Mus musculus: one gene and its partners. The protein of the gene in region 4 interacts with the protein of the main gene of each other region in a biochemical or structural test. Links are inferred from orthologs where the notes say so. Each region holds a gene or a part of one and is shown on either strand. Other genes may lie near its edges.

Evidence for each region.
Region 1: the proteins of Ocrl (region 4) and Rab5a form a complex in vitro, tested with the Homo sapiens proteins (2 studies listed by BioGRID and IntAct, with this or other methods). The link is inferred for Mus musculus from reciprocal best matches to the Homo sapiens genes OCRL and RAB5A.
Region 2: the proteins of Ocrl (region 4) and Rab8a form a complex in vitro, tested with the Homo sapiens proteins (2 studies listed by BioGRID and IntAct, with this or other methods). The link is inferred for Mus musculus from reciprocal best matches to the Homo sapiens genes OCRL and RAB8A.
Region 3: the proteins of Ocrl (region 4) and Rab31 form a complex in vitro, tested with the Homo sapiens proteins (2 studies listed by BioGRID and IntAct, with this or other methods). The link is inferred for Mus musculus from reciprocal best matches to the Homo sapiens genes OCRL and RAB31.

The regions. Positions count from the first base shown.
Region 1 is NC_000083.6:53,477,785-53,482,033, reverse strand, and holds the start of Rab5a (ras-related protein Rab-5A), read right to left. Parts: upstream 2,801-4,249; 5' UTR 2,426-2,800; intron 1-2,425. UniProt on the Homo sapiens protein: The small GTPases Rab are key regulators of intracellular membrane trafficking, from the formation of transport vesicles to their fusion with membranes.
Region 2 is NC_000074.6:72,159,893-72,163,999, reverse strand, and holds the start of Rab8a (ras-related protein Rab-8A), read right to left. Parts: upstream 2,801-4,107; 5' UTR 2,642-2,800; coding exon 2,518-2,641; intron 1-2,517. UniProt on the Homo sapiens protein: The small GTPases Rab are key regulators of intracellular membrane trafficking, from the formation of transport vesicles to their fusion with membranes.
Region 3 is NC_000083.6:65,769,953-65,774,054, forward strand, and holds the start of Rab31 (ras-related protein Rab-31), read right to left. Parts: upstream 2,801-4,102; 5' UTR 2,593-2,800; coding exon 2,554-2,592; intron 1-2,553. UniProt on the Homo sapiens protein: The small GTPases Rab are key regulators of intracellular membrane trafficking, from the formation of transport vesicles to their fusion with membranes.
Region 4 is NC_000086.7:47,932,956-47,936,455, reverse strand, and holds part of Ocrl (inositol polyphosphate 5-phosphatase OCRL), read right to left. Parts: intron 3,083-3,500; coding exon 2,981-3,082; intron 1,612-2,980; coding exon 1,497-1,611; intron 367-1,496; coding exon 250-366; intron 156-249; coding exon 1-155. UniProt on the Homo sapiens protein: Catalyzes the hydrolysis of the 5-position phosphate of phosphatidylinositol 4,5-bisphosphate (PtdIns(4,5)P2) and phosphatidylinositol-3,4,5-bisphosphate (PtdIns(3,4,5)P3), with the greatest catalytic activity towards PtdIns(4,5)P2.

The DNA.
Region 1 (4,249 bases), on a different chromosome or scaffold from region 4:
ACCAAGGTTGTCCCTTTGATCTCCATGAAAATGCTGTGAAATGCACATTCCTTCACACAGGAATACATACACATGCAAACATCACACGCATATACTAAATGTGGGTTATAAGCTTATCAAAAACAAAATATACTAAGGATTTTCTTCCTAAAAAAATCTTTGACCAAAAGCTACACTTAATTTATACTTAATTATAGAAATTTATATTTCCTATAAAATTTGAATTAATACATGGAACACTTGATAATGACAAATTCATTAACGAATATATCCATAAGATCTCCGTGCTATCTGTTTGTTGTTTTAAGACAACGGCTCTCTGTTTAGCCATGGCTGTCCCTGAACTCAGAGATCAATCAGTACATCTGCCTTTGCCTCCTGAGTTCTCTAATTAAAGGTATGCCACACCAAGCCCAGCTCCGTTTTTAAGATACCATCTTCTAGCCTAATCTAGTTACTAGCTTTGAAGAGTTCCTATCTTTACCAATAAATACCAACACATTTACAGATGAAATGTTTGAGCTGCTTCTAACCAACAGCACATAAATAAAACTACCATTTCATCCTGGCATGATGGAGCTTGTCTGTGGTCCTAGAACTTGAGAAGCTGAGACAGAAGCATGCCAGTCAGAAATATTTAGCAAGGCTTGTCTCAAAACAACAGACACAGTGGGCCAAGATTTTAATTCTAGCACTCCAGGGCCAGAAAAAGGTGGATGAATGGCTGTGTGTTCCAAGTTAGCCTGGCCTGCAAAGCATGTTTCAAGTCACCCAGAACTATACTGTGAGAGCTTGTCAAAAGTAATTAAGCAAAATTCCCATTTCTCCCCAATCCATAAAACAAACCAGATTCTGAAGTCTAGTCTCAGCTATGTCAATCTAAGTTTTAATTTTCAAATTTTCTATATTCATTATACCCTAACATTGCACAGCAACTGTTAAGAATTAAATAAGACAACATATCTAGTCTCTGATACAGTGCTTACTAAGTACACAGTGTTTGAAACTGGCAATTAAAATGGCCTCTTGGTGAATTAGTTAATTAATTAATGCTTGTAGATCAATAGACTTCATACAGACTGAAAAAGGCACCAACATACCTTCAGCTTAAATGTTTCTCAATTGTTCCTTACCTATAAAACAGTAAATGACTTATCCAGGACAAAACTTGTTCTGTATTCCTATGGTACTTCCAAAATCTCAGGGAAAACATCGATTCTCACAGAAAATACAAACAAAATTTTGTACTTAGTTTTTAAAAACTGTTTCCTGCCCCACATCCCGATCACATTTTTGAGGGACAGGGACTTGTCGCCTAGGCAAGCACAGGATAGGTTACGGATGGCCTGGACTCCTGATCCTACCTACCTCAGCTTCCAGAGTGCTGGGATGACAGGCGGGGTGCCTTCACAGTCAGTGTCTTTTAAAGTGCAAAGCTACTAAATCTTTTACTTCCAAAGACCTCAAACGGAAATAAGCCCAAGTATAAACCTACACAGGTTGAACATGGTATTAATGTTAAGTGCGAGGGCTGGGGGTGTTCAGTGAAGCTACTGCTCAGTGCACAGAGGTTCTGCACTTATAACTTGTACTTTTATTCCGTCAAAGAAAACTTTTGCATAATATGCATCTCCAATCTTTAAAATAGTTTTTTTATACAGTTAGGAAGTCTTTGATTAAAAAAATTGCACTGAGCCCTTAAATTGTGCCAGGCACTGTTGTGCTGCCTACTTTGTTCACAACCCCACGGGTTCAAATTTTACATTAAGAACGATTCTGGGCAGACCTCAATATTCTGGAAGATGTAACAGTTTTTTTTTTTTTAATTAGTTACGTGCAAGGCAACTGATTCAGAACTTTAAATCCATTTCGGCGAGGCAAAAACTAATATGCCAAGAGTGACAGTCAAAGCTTTAAACTTCTGGAGGCGTTAGGATGTTAACCTGCTCGCACCTTGGCCCGGGCTTCCCACCTCCCACGGAAGGGACCAGAGGATCCCACTACTCGCACAGCCCGGCCAAGCCGGTCAGAGGTAGGCGGAGCTCCCCAATCCCCACCTGCTGGAGGCCTGGGTTCCTGTCTGGAAGAAGCCGAGAAATCAAACCGGGGTGCCGGGGCCAGGAGCTCCGCTGGGCCTGGTGGGCGCGCTCCTGAGCCACCCCCGTCACCCCGGATGCGATCCGGCTCAGTAGCCGGGACAGAGCCCCAAAGACCGGGCTGGAGACCGCCAGGGCCCCAGGCTCTTCCCACGGCGCCATCTTGTGAAGGGAAGAGGGTGCCACCCGCCGCTCCCTCAGAGGATTCCCCACGTCCCAGGCCCCGAAGCTGCTAGAAGAATGAGTCACTAAGCGCTGAGGGCCCGCGGCGGCTTGGAGGCCCCAAGCCCGGCCCGGGACCACAGGGACCCGCCCCGACGGCGGCTTACCTGGGCCGCGTCTCCCGGCAGCGAGGCCACGCACGGCCCGGCCCGGCCCGGAGATCGGATGCGCCGCGGCTGCAGCGGCGGCGTCGCCTGCTCGCTCCTTCTTCTCACCCTGGCCGGCGCGGGACTCTGAGCGCCGCCCGCCGTGCCGCCGCCCCTGCCGGGCTGCGTCTCCGCCTCTCCGTTCCGCCTTCCTTTCTCCTCCTCCTCCAGAGTCGCCGCGCTCGAGTTCCGAGGACTTCTTCCTCGTCGTCGTCGTTCTCCTCCTCCTCCTCCCTCGGTCTCCTCCCCTCAGACCGCCCCGGCTCCTCACGAACCAAAACACAAACACTCGGGCTCCAGCGCAGGAACTGCTTCCGCCGGCTCCGCCACGTAGCCGCACGCAGCGAAGAACGCCGTGACGTCATTTCCGCCGCTGCCCCTCCCAGGAGGCCGGCAGCGGCTTCCTAAGGGGGCGGGGCCGAAGTCACGTGACATCCCCGGGTGCGCTAAGGGAGAATAGTTCGGCCCTCTCTAACGCCTCCTTGATCTGAACCGACATCTTTGGGCTCCGGCTGCAAGGCGAGGCAGGAGCGTCAGGAATGAAGAGGGGGGCGTGGGGTTGCGTCACGTGTCTTCTCCAATTCCCTGGGGCCAGACCTACTCACTTCCTTGCTCTGCCTTCCTCCTCCCCGGGGCTCCACCCTCAGTACCACCATTGTTATCTGGGTGGCGGCGCTCTAAGCCGGCGGGTTGGGAACCCGAGAGGCGTGGGCCAGACCTGCGTTTTATGGGTCTCATCGGAGCTGACAGGGTCCCCACTGCCATTGTCAGCCTGGGTTGTCTTCCCATTGCGGCGATTTTCGGTCTGATGGTTCACTCACAGGCCTCTCACACCACTTCAGCAGCTCAGTAAAGGGGTTTAGGCGAGCGAGGGCTCCTGTGGCTCTGGAAATGCCCTGCTTTTCCGAGAATGGGCGTGTCTGTGATCTCGGAGAGAATTAAGACCCTTAAATTCAAAAGCTGCCTTTAGACAGCAAACCTCAAAAGAATAACTTGCTTTTATTGAGAGTTTACCTGTGTGTGTGGTTTTTTGTTTTGTTTTGTTTGTTTTTTGAGTGAAAAGGAGGAAATCCTAATAATTAGCGTTTATTTGGAATTCCCCATTGAACTAAGTAGTAAACATTTTGGAGTGATCTCTCTCTCTCTCTCTCTCTCTCTCTCTCTCTCTCTCACACACACACACACACCCATTGATAAGCACAGTTGATAAGCACACAGAGTCCTGGCATGTTTGTGGAATGAATGAGGGAGGCAAATAATTTGGCCACGATCACAGGTTAGATATAGTCTAGCCTGCAGCCGGCTCCATAACACTAGTTCTTAAGATTCCAATGAACAGCAGCCCAAGATGTTTATGGCTGCCCACAGCACACCTATTTAAGACGTTCCCTTGATCCGCATAGGTCCAAATACTCCACTCCCCTAAATTCTGGCACTGGTTTCTATCAAAAGAGTCATTCCTTGTCTCTGTCAGAAAGGTTCTGTGGTGCCTATTAGCATACCAAAACACAAGGCTAGCCTTCTGATTTACTCAGTACCTGTGGCTCTTCTCACCCCACTTCCTACCCTAAACTTCTCCAAGTCATGAGCTTCCCTCTTCTAGTTTCTCATTCCCATGTAACCCTACTATTTGACTCTCTCTCTCTCTCTCTCTCTCTCTCTCTCTCTCTCTCTCTCTCTCCCTCCCTCTCCCTCTCCCTCTCTCCTTCCCGCTCCCCTCTCCTGTGGCCTCCTTTGCTCCTTTGTCTTCCTGTCTCACTACCCCATCCCACCCCATGGCCATGT
Region 2 (4,107 bases), on a different chromosome or scaffold from region 4:
GTACTCACCTATATTAAAAAAAAAAAAAAAAAACTTAAAAAAAATGTTTTAAGCCAGCCAGATGGAAAAGGATGTGTAGCTGACCTGTGTTGAGGCCCTTGGCTCCATCCCCAGTATTTCAAAAAGAAAAATTGAACAAACATATATGAGATGCAAAATAAGCAATACAGGTCAGCAAGATGGTTCAGTGGATAAAGGTGCTTGCCACTGAGCCTGATGACTTGAGTTCAATTCTTGGGTCCTACTCAGTAGAAGGAGGAAACTGACTCCTGTAAGTTGCCTTTTGACATTGGAATTTGGGAGCCAGAGGCAGATGATTTCCATGAGTTCCAGAACAGCCTGGTTATATAGCTAGCCTGTCTCAAACAAACAAACAAACAAACAAGGGCTAGGGACACGACTCAATCCCTAAAGTCCTTGCCACAAAAGCATGAAGACCTGGGCATGGTGGCATAAACTTACATAACATTACAGCACTGGTGAGACAAGAAAGAAGGGTCCTGAGGCTTGCTGGTCATCCAGCCTCAAACTTGGTGAGCTCCAGGATCAGTGAGAGACCAAGCAAAGATAGCTTGGTGGGTGAAGGTACTCACCCATAAACCTGACAACCTGAGATCAATCCCCAGGACCCACATGGTGGGAGGAAAAGAACAGACTTTAAAAGGTGTCCTCTGACCCATACATGTGCATAAGCATACACATACACTCCCAATAAAATAATTTTTAAAAATGAGGTGAAGATTGAGGAATAACCCCGACTGTTCCTGTATGCACACAGGAACATGCTCACACACATGCATGCATGCCAAATTGAACAACAACAACAAAACACCCCTGAACTAATGTCACCATGTTGGTGTTGACTAGGAAGTGTCTGAGGATGGGAAACTGAGGTCTGTGTTGAGAACAAACCAGAGCCTGTGGGTAGCTACTGTCACTTCCTGCTTGGTCCTCACCTGAGGGTAACTCCAAAGCTGAGTGTTTGGGTGGGGGTGTGTGTGGGGGGAGAGGCTTTAAATGCACCTGTGCCCAAACCCTCTGCTTCCTCCAGACTGAACCTTCCACTGGTTGTATAGATCTAATCCTCAACCACCCAGGGCACCAGACAAGACAGACAGTGCCATATCTACTCTAAATAAAATTGGGTCAGTGAGGGTTAGAGCTTGCTCAACCTAGAGTTCAAGTATGATGATTCCCTGTCCAGTTCCCTATACTTGACGCCTGACACACGACTGCTTCAGAACACTGACTGGGAAGGAGATATTAGATGGCATTATCACATGACGGTCAGGTCAGGGAGACAACAACTTAGTTGACATTACACAGAAATCATCCCCCAGTTTCCCTTTTCCTTCCAAGGCAGGGTCTCATGCAGCCCAGGCTGGCCTTGAACACTCTATGTAGCCAAGGATGACCCTGAGCACCCGATCTTCCTGCCTCCCTGTCCTTAGTGCTGTCATTACAGGTGTTCACTACCACATCTGGTTTCAGGGTGCTGGAGATGGCACCCAGGGTTCCAACAATGGAACCACATCCTGACTAGGGATAAACCAAGCCTAGTGACTATTCTCTTGTTTCAGGACCATACACCATCCAGGTCACTCTGTTTGGCAGGATTTACTTCCAGGTAACACTCAATGTGAGCCATGACTATTCATGGTAAGGAGCATGGTCAGCACCATTTTTGACGTCAGAACTGGGGCCATCACAAGCCAATTCTGTTCAACTGTGCCGTGAGGCAGCCCTGGGGAAAAGCTGTTCAGGTGGTGTTCTTGGCCCAGTGAAAGGAAGTCAGTCAAGGCTGCACGTAGCCATGGCTGGACTTAGTTTCTTACTGGAACTTTTTCTCTTGTATTCCCACCAGGATGACAGATACTGTCACCATTCCTCAGAGAGAAGGCAGGAGGACTTTGGGTTGGAGTCCTGACTTAGATGTGGATCAGTGGTGCTGGTCCTTTGAAGCTCTGGAACAGCTGAACCTTGAATTTTGGAGTCAGACACACCTGGGTTCAAATCTCATCCCTAATACCTGTAGACTGTGACCTTCAGTGCGTGCCGCACCCTCCCTCAGTTTCAAATTCCTCCTCCAGGGACAAAGCACCCATCACGAGTACACTACAGATTTGATACTGCACATGCCAAGCTTGCCACATAGGAAACTACGAGGTCAGGTGTCACCTCCATGCCTCAGTTTCCACTTTTGGAAGACGGGGGTCTCCCCGGAAGAACAGTGTAGAGGTCTGATGTAAAGACACAGAGAGTTGACAGGCGCCAGGACCCCAGGGCAGGCTCTTCCTCAGACTGCAGCCTGCATGTCCCTGTCTGCACCTTGGTCTCCGGCGCCCGCCAGGGTCCCGGCCTGGACTCCCTGGCGGGAGGTGGAGGCCGCTGCGGTTCTCTGTCCAGCCCCGTGACCCTCCCGGATCCTCGGCCCGAGTGGATCCTGAGTCGATCCCTCAGCCCAGCCCCATAGGGGCGCGTCCAGCCCTGGTCACCGGCCGCCCAAGGCCCCGCTACCTATGGTAGAGATGAATGTGGAGTTGAAGGCGTCCTCGGAGAAGCGGAACAGGACACAGGTCTTCCCTACCCCCGAGTCCCCGATCAGCAGCAGCTTGAACAGGTAATCGTAGGTCTTCGCCATATTACACTCTCTCCCCGACGGGAAGTACGGCCGGCGCCTCGCCACTGGTCGCTGGACCCGTCTATCATCTCAGATCCCGCCCCCTATTGGCCCCCTGCCCGCCGCGCATCATCCAGGCCTACGCCCGCCACCCGGAGCCCCGCCTGTCGCAGAGAGCCCAGGGGAAAAAGGCGAAAGCGGCGCAGAGCCGGAAGCAGCCGACTGCACAGCCCATTGGTTGACGCTTGGTATAGGGAGGTTTGTTATTGGCTAGTGCTGGAGAGTCGAGGGTGAGGGCGTCAAATGACCAGCGATGGGTGTGGTCACATCTTGACCCCGCCTTCCCGTGCGCGCCTTCTCCTCAGCCCTTCAGCGTCCAGGCCCTGCCCCCGACAGGAGGGACCCCAACAATTCCGCGCGCTGGTTGATGAGAGAGTGGGAGGGACGGGCTTGGTGAACAGGCGCAAGCGTACTGGGAAGACGGTTGGCTCTGGCAGAGAGCGCACGCGCGCAGAGAACGCCTCGTGTTTCCCGCCTTCTCTGCCTGCGCAGCAGCAGCCGTAGCCGCAGCCGGCGCTGAGGCGAAGCGCAGGAAGTACCTGTGGTAATGCTTCTGAGGAGGATTTTCGGCGGTGCAAAAGTGGCGCGGGTTAAGATGTGCTGCAGACTCGCTCCTCGGCCTTGGCGCCCACCATTGGACTTACTTAGGTGCTGTACAGGCAAGCCGGCCATTGCCGTGAGCGATCCCAGGGCTTCAGCGCCGGTAGGGCTATGTTATCATTTCCAAGTAATGGCAGCGTTTTTTGTTTTGTTTTGTTTTGTTTTCTTTTCTGTGCTTGCGGGTGCTATCTATACTTAAAAATAAGTCAAGGTCCTTCACCCCACACCAGCCCGGCTTGGTAGGTAATCTTTTCCTCGTTTTATGGTAAGTATACTGAAGACAGGTGAAGTGACTTTCCTAGGTTTCAGAGTAGCATTTTTTTTTCCCTTCTGTTTTTTAATATGTTGAGGTGTAGTCCCGGAGTAACGGGAGAACAGTGACAAAATAAAATAAAGCCACATTAAGATAAACATCTGAGGGCTGGAGAGATGGCTCAGCGGTTAAGACTACTCTTCCAGAGGCCTTGAGTTCAATACCCAGCAACCACATGGTGCCTCATAACCATCTGTAATGGAATCCAGTGCCCCCTTTTGGTGTGTCTGAAGACAACTACAGTGTACTCAAATCTTAAAAAGAAAAAAGGAGTGGGGGGGGGTGGATAGATGGCTCAGTGTTTAAGAGCACTTACTGATCTTCCAGAGGTCCTGAATTACATGGTGGCTCACAATCATCAGTAATGAGATCTGATGCCCTCTTCTGGGGTGTCTAAAGACAGCTACAGTGTACTTACATATAATAAATAAATTAAAAAAAAAAAGATCTGAGTTGCTGACTACATGGCTCAGCCAGTAAAGTAAGTCATTTGTTGCTAAATCTGAGGATTGTA
Region 3 (4,102 bases), on a different chromosome or scaffold from region 4:
GACTAGTGCCCAGGATGGACGAGCTCACTTGCTCTTTGAAATAAAATATCTTCTGACCTTGGTAACACTAAAATGTGTAGCAAGCTACCTTCAAAGCAGAGTACAGCTGATGTGGAATGATATGAATAATGTTTCAAAACTTACAGAAATTTCTTCTTTCTCTGTTACAGCATCCTCCACCCCCCCCACCCCCACCCCAGGTTCAAATTCCTATCGATAGGGCCATCATAAAGAGGCCAAAATCAAAATAAGGCACCTGCATTGCCTCTAGAAAGCCTGTGGAGATTGCTTTGTTTGTGGAGATGGGGAGAAAAAGAAGAGTTTCTCTAGTTCCCTCATCTCATCTTGGCATCTCTAGCATCATCACAGACCAGCAGGAAATGGTCTCACACACCCACACACATATACCACACATACACACCACACACACACACACCACAAACACCACACACATACACACACCACACACATACATATACACCACACAAATACACACCACATACACCACACCATACACACACACACACCACACACACACACATACACACACACCACACATACACATCACACACACCCCACACACATACACACACACATTTACACATCACACACACACATATACACATCATACACACACCCCACACACATACACACACACATTTACACATCACACACACACATATACACATCATACACACACCACACACACACCACACACACACACACACCACACACACACATACACACCACACACACCACACACATACACACATACATATACACATCACACACACACATATACACATCATACACACCACACACACACACACACACCACACACACACCACACACACACACACCATCAGAGACCATTCAGTACCAGTTCTCTGCCTTCGAAGAGAAGGGAATGAATGATATGTCCAGTCTACAGTTAAACCACTCATTTGGCTCTCCCACACCCTGGGGCAGAAGACAGGCCAGACCTCCTGACTCCTGGTTCTGAGTCCTTGCCACACTCGTCACTGTCCCAATAGGACACTGAAACTAAAAATTAAAGGTGATGTCATTGAGACTGTGCCTGGGCACCTAGGTGGACTGCAAAGGAGGAGATGCAAGTCACCTCCTAGAGCCAAAAATGTTTCCTGTTTCAACGTTCCCCATGGCTAACTGTTACATGCCCCTCGCACCAACACTTCCTCTTCTTTGGGGCCTGCTATTCCTTTGAAATCTTCAAAGGCCTTTCTCCCGTGGGATTCCTAGGTCTGGACTACTGGACAGCCCCGCAGATATGAAGCTTGCTACTCTGACACCGAAAGTTCTAAGGAGAAAGAACTCCAAGAGCAGCATCCTGCCCGGCCTCCTGGGTGAGAAGCCCCTGGGGAGGCCTTGCTTGACACTGAAGGGGAAGAAAAGGCCCTTGCCAGAAGCCCTGGGATTCTCCACCAACCACTAGCTAAGGGGAAGTGCCAAGGGCAGTGTGAGGATCCGACTTCCATCAAAGGATTCGGCGGGGCCCAGGTGAAACCACAAGTCCCTGGTGCACCAGATCCTAATCCACAACATCGCCTGTATTCACCTCCATAACCATCCTGATTAGCATTTCTTTGAGGAGAATGAATGCGGCCCTACTCTTTTATTTAGGAAATACTTTTCCTTGCAGTGCCAGATTTGCCAACTTCAAGGGCAGGGCGGTATGCCCAGTGATAATGCCAAAGACTACAGAAGACTGCAGAGAACATGGCTTATAACATTAGCTCTTATTTGGGAAGACTTCGGGAATTTGTTGTGGGTAGCCCCAAGGAAATGACCCCCAAACACTGAATCCCTGGGGGGGGGCAGATTTCAAGGGACAGCGCAGTGTGCCGGAGTTTGTCAGTCTGGCCCTCCAGTCTCGGAGTTTGGATGTTGTTTCTTTCTTTGTTTCTGACTGCTTTTATATTTCTTGGGACTAAGACTCGTTTTGGAAGAGGAAGGGTGTTGGGGGCGGGTGTTTCTCATCCTGCTTCATTTTCATCCACTGCACGGAAAGTGTGCTGAACACACAGTTCATACAGAGTTTGCTCTTAATACTTCGCAGTCGGGCCAAAACCCCGGTACTCCCTCCCTTGCTTGGAAGGATTGGTTTGTTGGTTTGTTTTCGGAGAGAATAAAGAAATTGCCATCACTACTCCCTACCTACCCCCGCAGGAGGCAGAGGAAAACCTAACTTAAACACTCCTCCGGGAGGGAGCCACCAGTGGCAGAGGCAAGAGTCCTAGGGGCCCAGGGGCTGCATGACCCGCTGTCCTCTGGTCCTCAACAATCCCCCCCACCTCCCACCCCTCCACCCCGCCCTGCCCGACCCGCAGCCTGGCGAGCCCCAAGGTTGCCAGATACCCGGCCGCAGATGCAGCGATCCGGGGCGCTCGGGAGAATCTGGTGGCGGGCGGAGGCGGCTGGTGCCGGGCGCGGGATGGAGCGCGCGGGACATGGGGAAGCGCACGGGAGGCGGGCAGCGCAGAGACAATGGCGCACAGAAGCCGGGATCCCCCGTAGGATGGCTCCAGGACTTACCCCGAGAAGACACACTTTGAGCTCCCGTATCGCCATCATGTGCTCTGGGTCGGGCCCGGCCGGGGCTCAGCAGCATCGTCCGGGCCACACCGCGCCCAGCCTGCGTCCTGCTGTCTCCCAGGACTCTCGCCGGCCGCGGGGCGGAACCGCCAAGGCGGCTATTTCTGGGCCTCGGCCTCCGCTGTCGGTCACGTGCTGCCGGCCGGCTCCTCCCGTCACGTCTAGTCTAGCCTGGCCGCCGGGCTTCGGCTCCGCCCGGGCCCCGGTCCGCTTCGGCCTCCAGTGACCACCCAACATCTGACTTGTGGGCAAATCATCCCCTTCCGTGATCAGCTCTGAGCCCGGTCGGGCACCACTTGCCCTGGACACACGACCCGTCGCGTCATAAAGAGCCATTGGAACAGTTTATGCTGTTGGCTGTGGTCCCAAGGAAGCACTTCAAAGTCTCTGGGTAGTCCCACCATAAAGTGACTCTGACCTCCAGATGCAAGAAACATCAGCGAGAAACCGGGATGAGGGGAGGAAAGGGTTAACTTGTCCCTTCTAATACCCAGGCTTCAAATCGCTTCCTCCCAACACTTCACTTTACTCTGCATGCATTCTTTTCTGTATGCAGCAAAGGATGACTCAAGGATGATTCGAGAAGCAGTCAGGTGTTTTGGCTTCCAAAACTGGAGCACCAGGGCCTGGGAAAAGAGAGGTGCACTCTGTAGAGGAAGCCCCCTTTCTCCATGTAGAAAAACGCTACAGCTATGTGGGCAGGAGCCCAGCCACAACTGGGGGGCTGGCAACCCTTCTGCAAACTCCTCTACTAGGAAACTGAGGCTACGTGCAGCGTCACACAGAGGGGCCATGGCCTCTGGTCTTTGTATGGTCCGTTGTTCCTCCAAGCCTCTGGGATGACTTCATTTGTTGCTGTGTAGAAATGACAGCTCTTTAAGAATAATCTAAATTTACTGGTACTACTAATTGTATGCATATGTTTTAAACAGCAACACTGGACGTGGCTCTGTTGGGAGAGTGCTTGCCCAGCATGCCTGATAACTGTTAGAAGGATTGATCCAGGCAACCTGGAAATAAAACAGAAGCCCTTTAATGAGAACAGTGAAGAGCAGTTCTCATTACCTGGCTTTCTTGCCAGGCAGGTGTTCTTATCAGTATGCTGAGTCTGGAGTTCTCACCAGAAGAGGGCATCAGATCTCATTACAGGTGGTTGTGAGCCACCATGTGCTCACATGTGGTTGCTGGGATTTGAACTCAGGACCTTCAGAAGAGCAATCGGTGCTCTTCACCGCTGAGCCATCTCTCCTGCCTGAAAGCCAGTTTTAAGAAGTGTTTAAAGGTTTGAAGTATATGGACGTCTGGTCTGCATGTACATCTGCACATCAGAAGAGGGCATTGGTGAGCTACATTTGTGAGCTGCCATGTGGGAGGTTGGAGTACGGGACCTGGGCTCTGAACTCAGCATCTCTGGAAAATCAGCCAGTGCTCTTAACTGCAGAGCCATGTCTCCAGGCACCCAAAGCAAGTTTTGACAAAGCATTCTGCA
Region 4 (3,500 bases):
TGATTGGGGACTGAAAAAGTCATTCTTGCACAGATGTCTTTATAATCCTGATTCCTTCGTTCGAACTCTTCCACGTGGGCGGCCAGGTGCGAATTGACAATGCAGAAAGTGGTGTTGTGGAATACAAATCTTACAGCTACCCCACCTTTGTTTCCCTGTTAGACAAAGTATAATGTTACTTAGCACAAGGAGCAAGTGAATTTTGCATAGCTATAAATGATAATCAAATTAATTGCCAAAGGAACTCACCATTTTCCCCATGATTCCAGTTCCAGTTGTTTCTGTAGCAACATCTCGGATGTATTGACACTGATCTTTTCTGGCAAATATAAGAAGCATCATCCCCACAAGGCGGACCAGTTGAACCTATGAATTCCAGGAAGTTACTAACAGCTAACATAAGCGTCCCTTTCTGCTACATAACTAACTTCCTAGGATGACCAACAAGGTGATTACTGATGTCCAAACCTACATCTGCACCCTCTAATTTCCAATAAGACCTCATAAATTGGAAACGACGATTCTCTGTGGAAGCTCTAGTCTGGTTTTGATTAATAAGAGTTAAAAGTCTTGAGGGATAGTGTATAAGTCTCAGTTTTTCTCTCTCCCCACTTTTCTCTCTGTCTCTGTATCTCTCTGCTTCTATTTATCAGTGCTGAGGATCAAATAGAGAGCCTTGAGCATGTAATACAGCTATCTACCACTGAGCCACATCCCCAGTCTTAGACCTCTAAATCACATTGTAGCCTATCGAGAGTATATTAAAAGCCCAAATAGTAGTGTATAAGCCATTATCCCAGCTTGTTCCCCTTCCGTCCTAAAGAGCAACCCTTTGAATTTTGATTCTTTTTAACCTAAAGTTGAGCGAGAGAGCTGTAACATCCTCAAGAGTTATGCTACCTACATAAACTGTTCAAAACCATAGATTACTTTGAGCTTGGGATAATAGTCTTAAGATGAAAATAACTCTCCTAGTAGCTAAATGCCCCTAGCAGATATCTTCTAAAGACCACCAATTGGACCACCTTGCTAAAGCCAAGTTTATACTTGACCTACAAAGCAGTTCAGGATGTGCTGAATTCCCACAGTACTGCTATTCTTGCTCTGAATCGAAAGCACACTCTCTGCGCCCCACATACTCCATACTGCTTTTCTTGTAGGCATTTCATTCTGGCCATGCCAGAGGACAGTCTTATATTTTTATTACACAGACAGATCGGTTAGCTTATATTTAATTATTTGGATTACTAATGCAAAAACAATAAGTTGATTTCTTCCCCAAACCATCTAAAGGATGAAAATGCATGACCAGAAAGCTTATGAATTTTTTTTCTCAGAAGTAACTACAGCAGATTAGTCTCATACAGCACAGTATTTCATATGGAGAAGTCAATTATTTAAACCTTTTGGAAGAGGTTCAGTTGATGGAGTAACTCCCAGTGAGGCCTACTTCATTCTATACTGAAGAGAGAAGCGAGCGAGCGAGCGCAGCTTACTTTTCTATACTTGGCCTTCGAAGGCAGCCCCCTTTCCACAGCCAAGGACCACTCTTGCTCTTTCACAGACTCGAAGTAGAAAAAGGCTTCGGTGCTCAAGTCCAGCTCTTGGAATCTGAGGGAACAAATAGATGCAGGCACTATACACAGCCACAATTTTCTTTGGCTACATCCTTTCCCATTTGCTGAGACATTAGAGTAAAGAAAAAAAAAAAGAGTACGAGATAAATTTTATAAAAGACATGTCGGTTTTCTAAAGACTCTCCATAGGTTATAGAAAAGGAAACAATAACAAACGCTCCTAGGGCCAGTGGTGAGACCTGTCTTTCCCAACCGTTGACTAATCACTTTGAGCACTGAGCTTATCTGTTCCTGCGATGAGCAGTTCCCTATTAGGAGCTTCATTAACGGTTCCTTTTGACCCACAAAATTAACCCGCACACAGAGTGCACAGCAAGTGTTTACCAAACAAGTATGTAAGAACAAATATGCAGATCAAGGCGGGGGAAATGTCCCAGTCAGTAAAGTGCTTGCTAGATCAAGTGTGAGGACCCGAGTTCAAACCTCAGCATCCGTGCAAAAAAGCTGTCTGTGCGGGCATGTGTCTGCAATGCCAGCACCGGGGAACAAGGGATGGGAGGATCCATCTCTAGGGGTTCAGTGAGAGAGCCCATCTAAAAAAATAAGGTAGGTGCCAGGACAGCCAGGGCTACACAGAGAAACCCTGTCTCGAAAAACCAAAAAAAAAAAAAAAAAAAAGGTAGATAAGGCCTTTCCCATAGAAGTGGGTGGCAGCTAAGGTAGGAATTCATAACTGGCCAAAGTGCTGAGATTTAGTGATGGCAGAGCACTCTGCCACTATGGGCCATTTACATCACACTCAGGGAATACCTTTAAGAGGGTATGAAAAGAATGTAAGAGCCAGAAGATGGGGACATGTTCAGCAAAAAGAAACTTGTGGATGACATCGCCACTGTTCCCCTGAACTCGGTACAGCTGCACAGATTGGGCCCGTAAACATTTCATCATGGGCACAGGAGGAGCCCATGAGGCTCTACCCCTCCCTAAGGGACAAGGGGCAGTTAAAGATTGCTGGTGGAAGGGGTGTCACTTTCTTTGGTGGGAAAGCCACTGTTGAGTTGCTCTAGTAAATAGTCTCCCATCCATGTTCACACAAGAAACTCCAACTAAACTCAGCGGCTCATACATATGAAGAAGGCATGAGTGCAGTGGGGGAGTTTTGGGGGAAGAAGATGATGGGGGTGTAAACAACTAAAATTCATTATATATGTAAGCAAAATGTTTAATAAAAAGAGGAAAGGAAATAAGATGGAGAGTGATTGACCAAGACACCTGGTAACCTCTGGGGCTCACATGCACACACCAACACGTTCACACACAAACACATACACACAGATAAGAGGGAGGCTCAAGTCATGTTACACTAACACCAAATATAGGAGAAGGAAGGTCCAGAAGTTTACCCAATGCAGTAAATATCAGGAGGATTTGGATCACAGTCGAGCCAAGGTTCTAAGCTGCTGTCTGGAGACTGGCCGTTCACATTCCAAGTTCCAACAAAAAACCTAATAACGTTACAGCAAAAAAATAATTTAAAAACAAAGATCAAGGATAAACAAACACAATACTGCTTTTATCACTCCTATGAACGGGTATTTTGATTAACATAAATCTTCAAAGTGTTTTGCTAGACACCTAAGAAAAGAATTCTTGGGAGCCAGGACTCCAGATACATATGTAGCAGAGGATGGGCTGATCTGACATCAATGGGAGGAGAGGCCCTTGGTTCTGTAGAGGTTTGATGTCCCAGTGTAGGGGGGATGGTAGAGCGGTGAGGTGGGAGTGGGTTGGTAGGTGAAGGAGCACCCTCATAGAGGCAGGGGGAGGGGGGAATGGGAAGGGGGGCATTGGCGGAGGGGTAACTGGGAAGGGGGATATCATTTGAAACGTAAATGAATAAAATGATTAATAAAAAAGAACTCT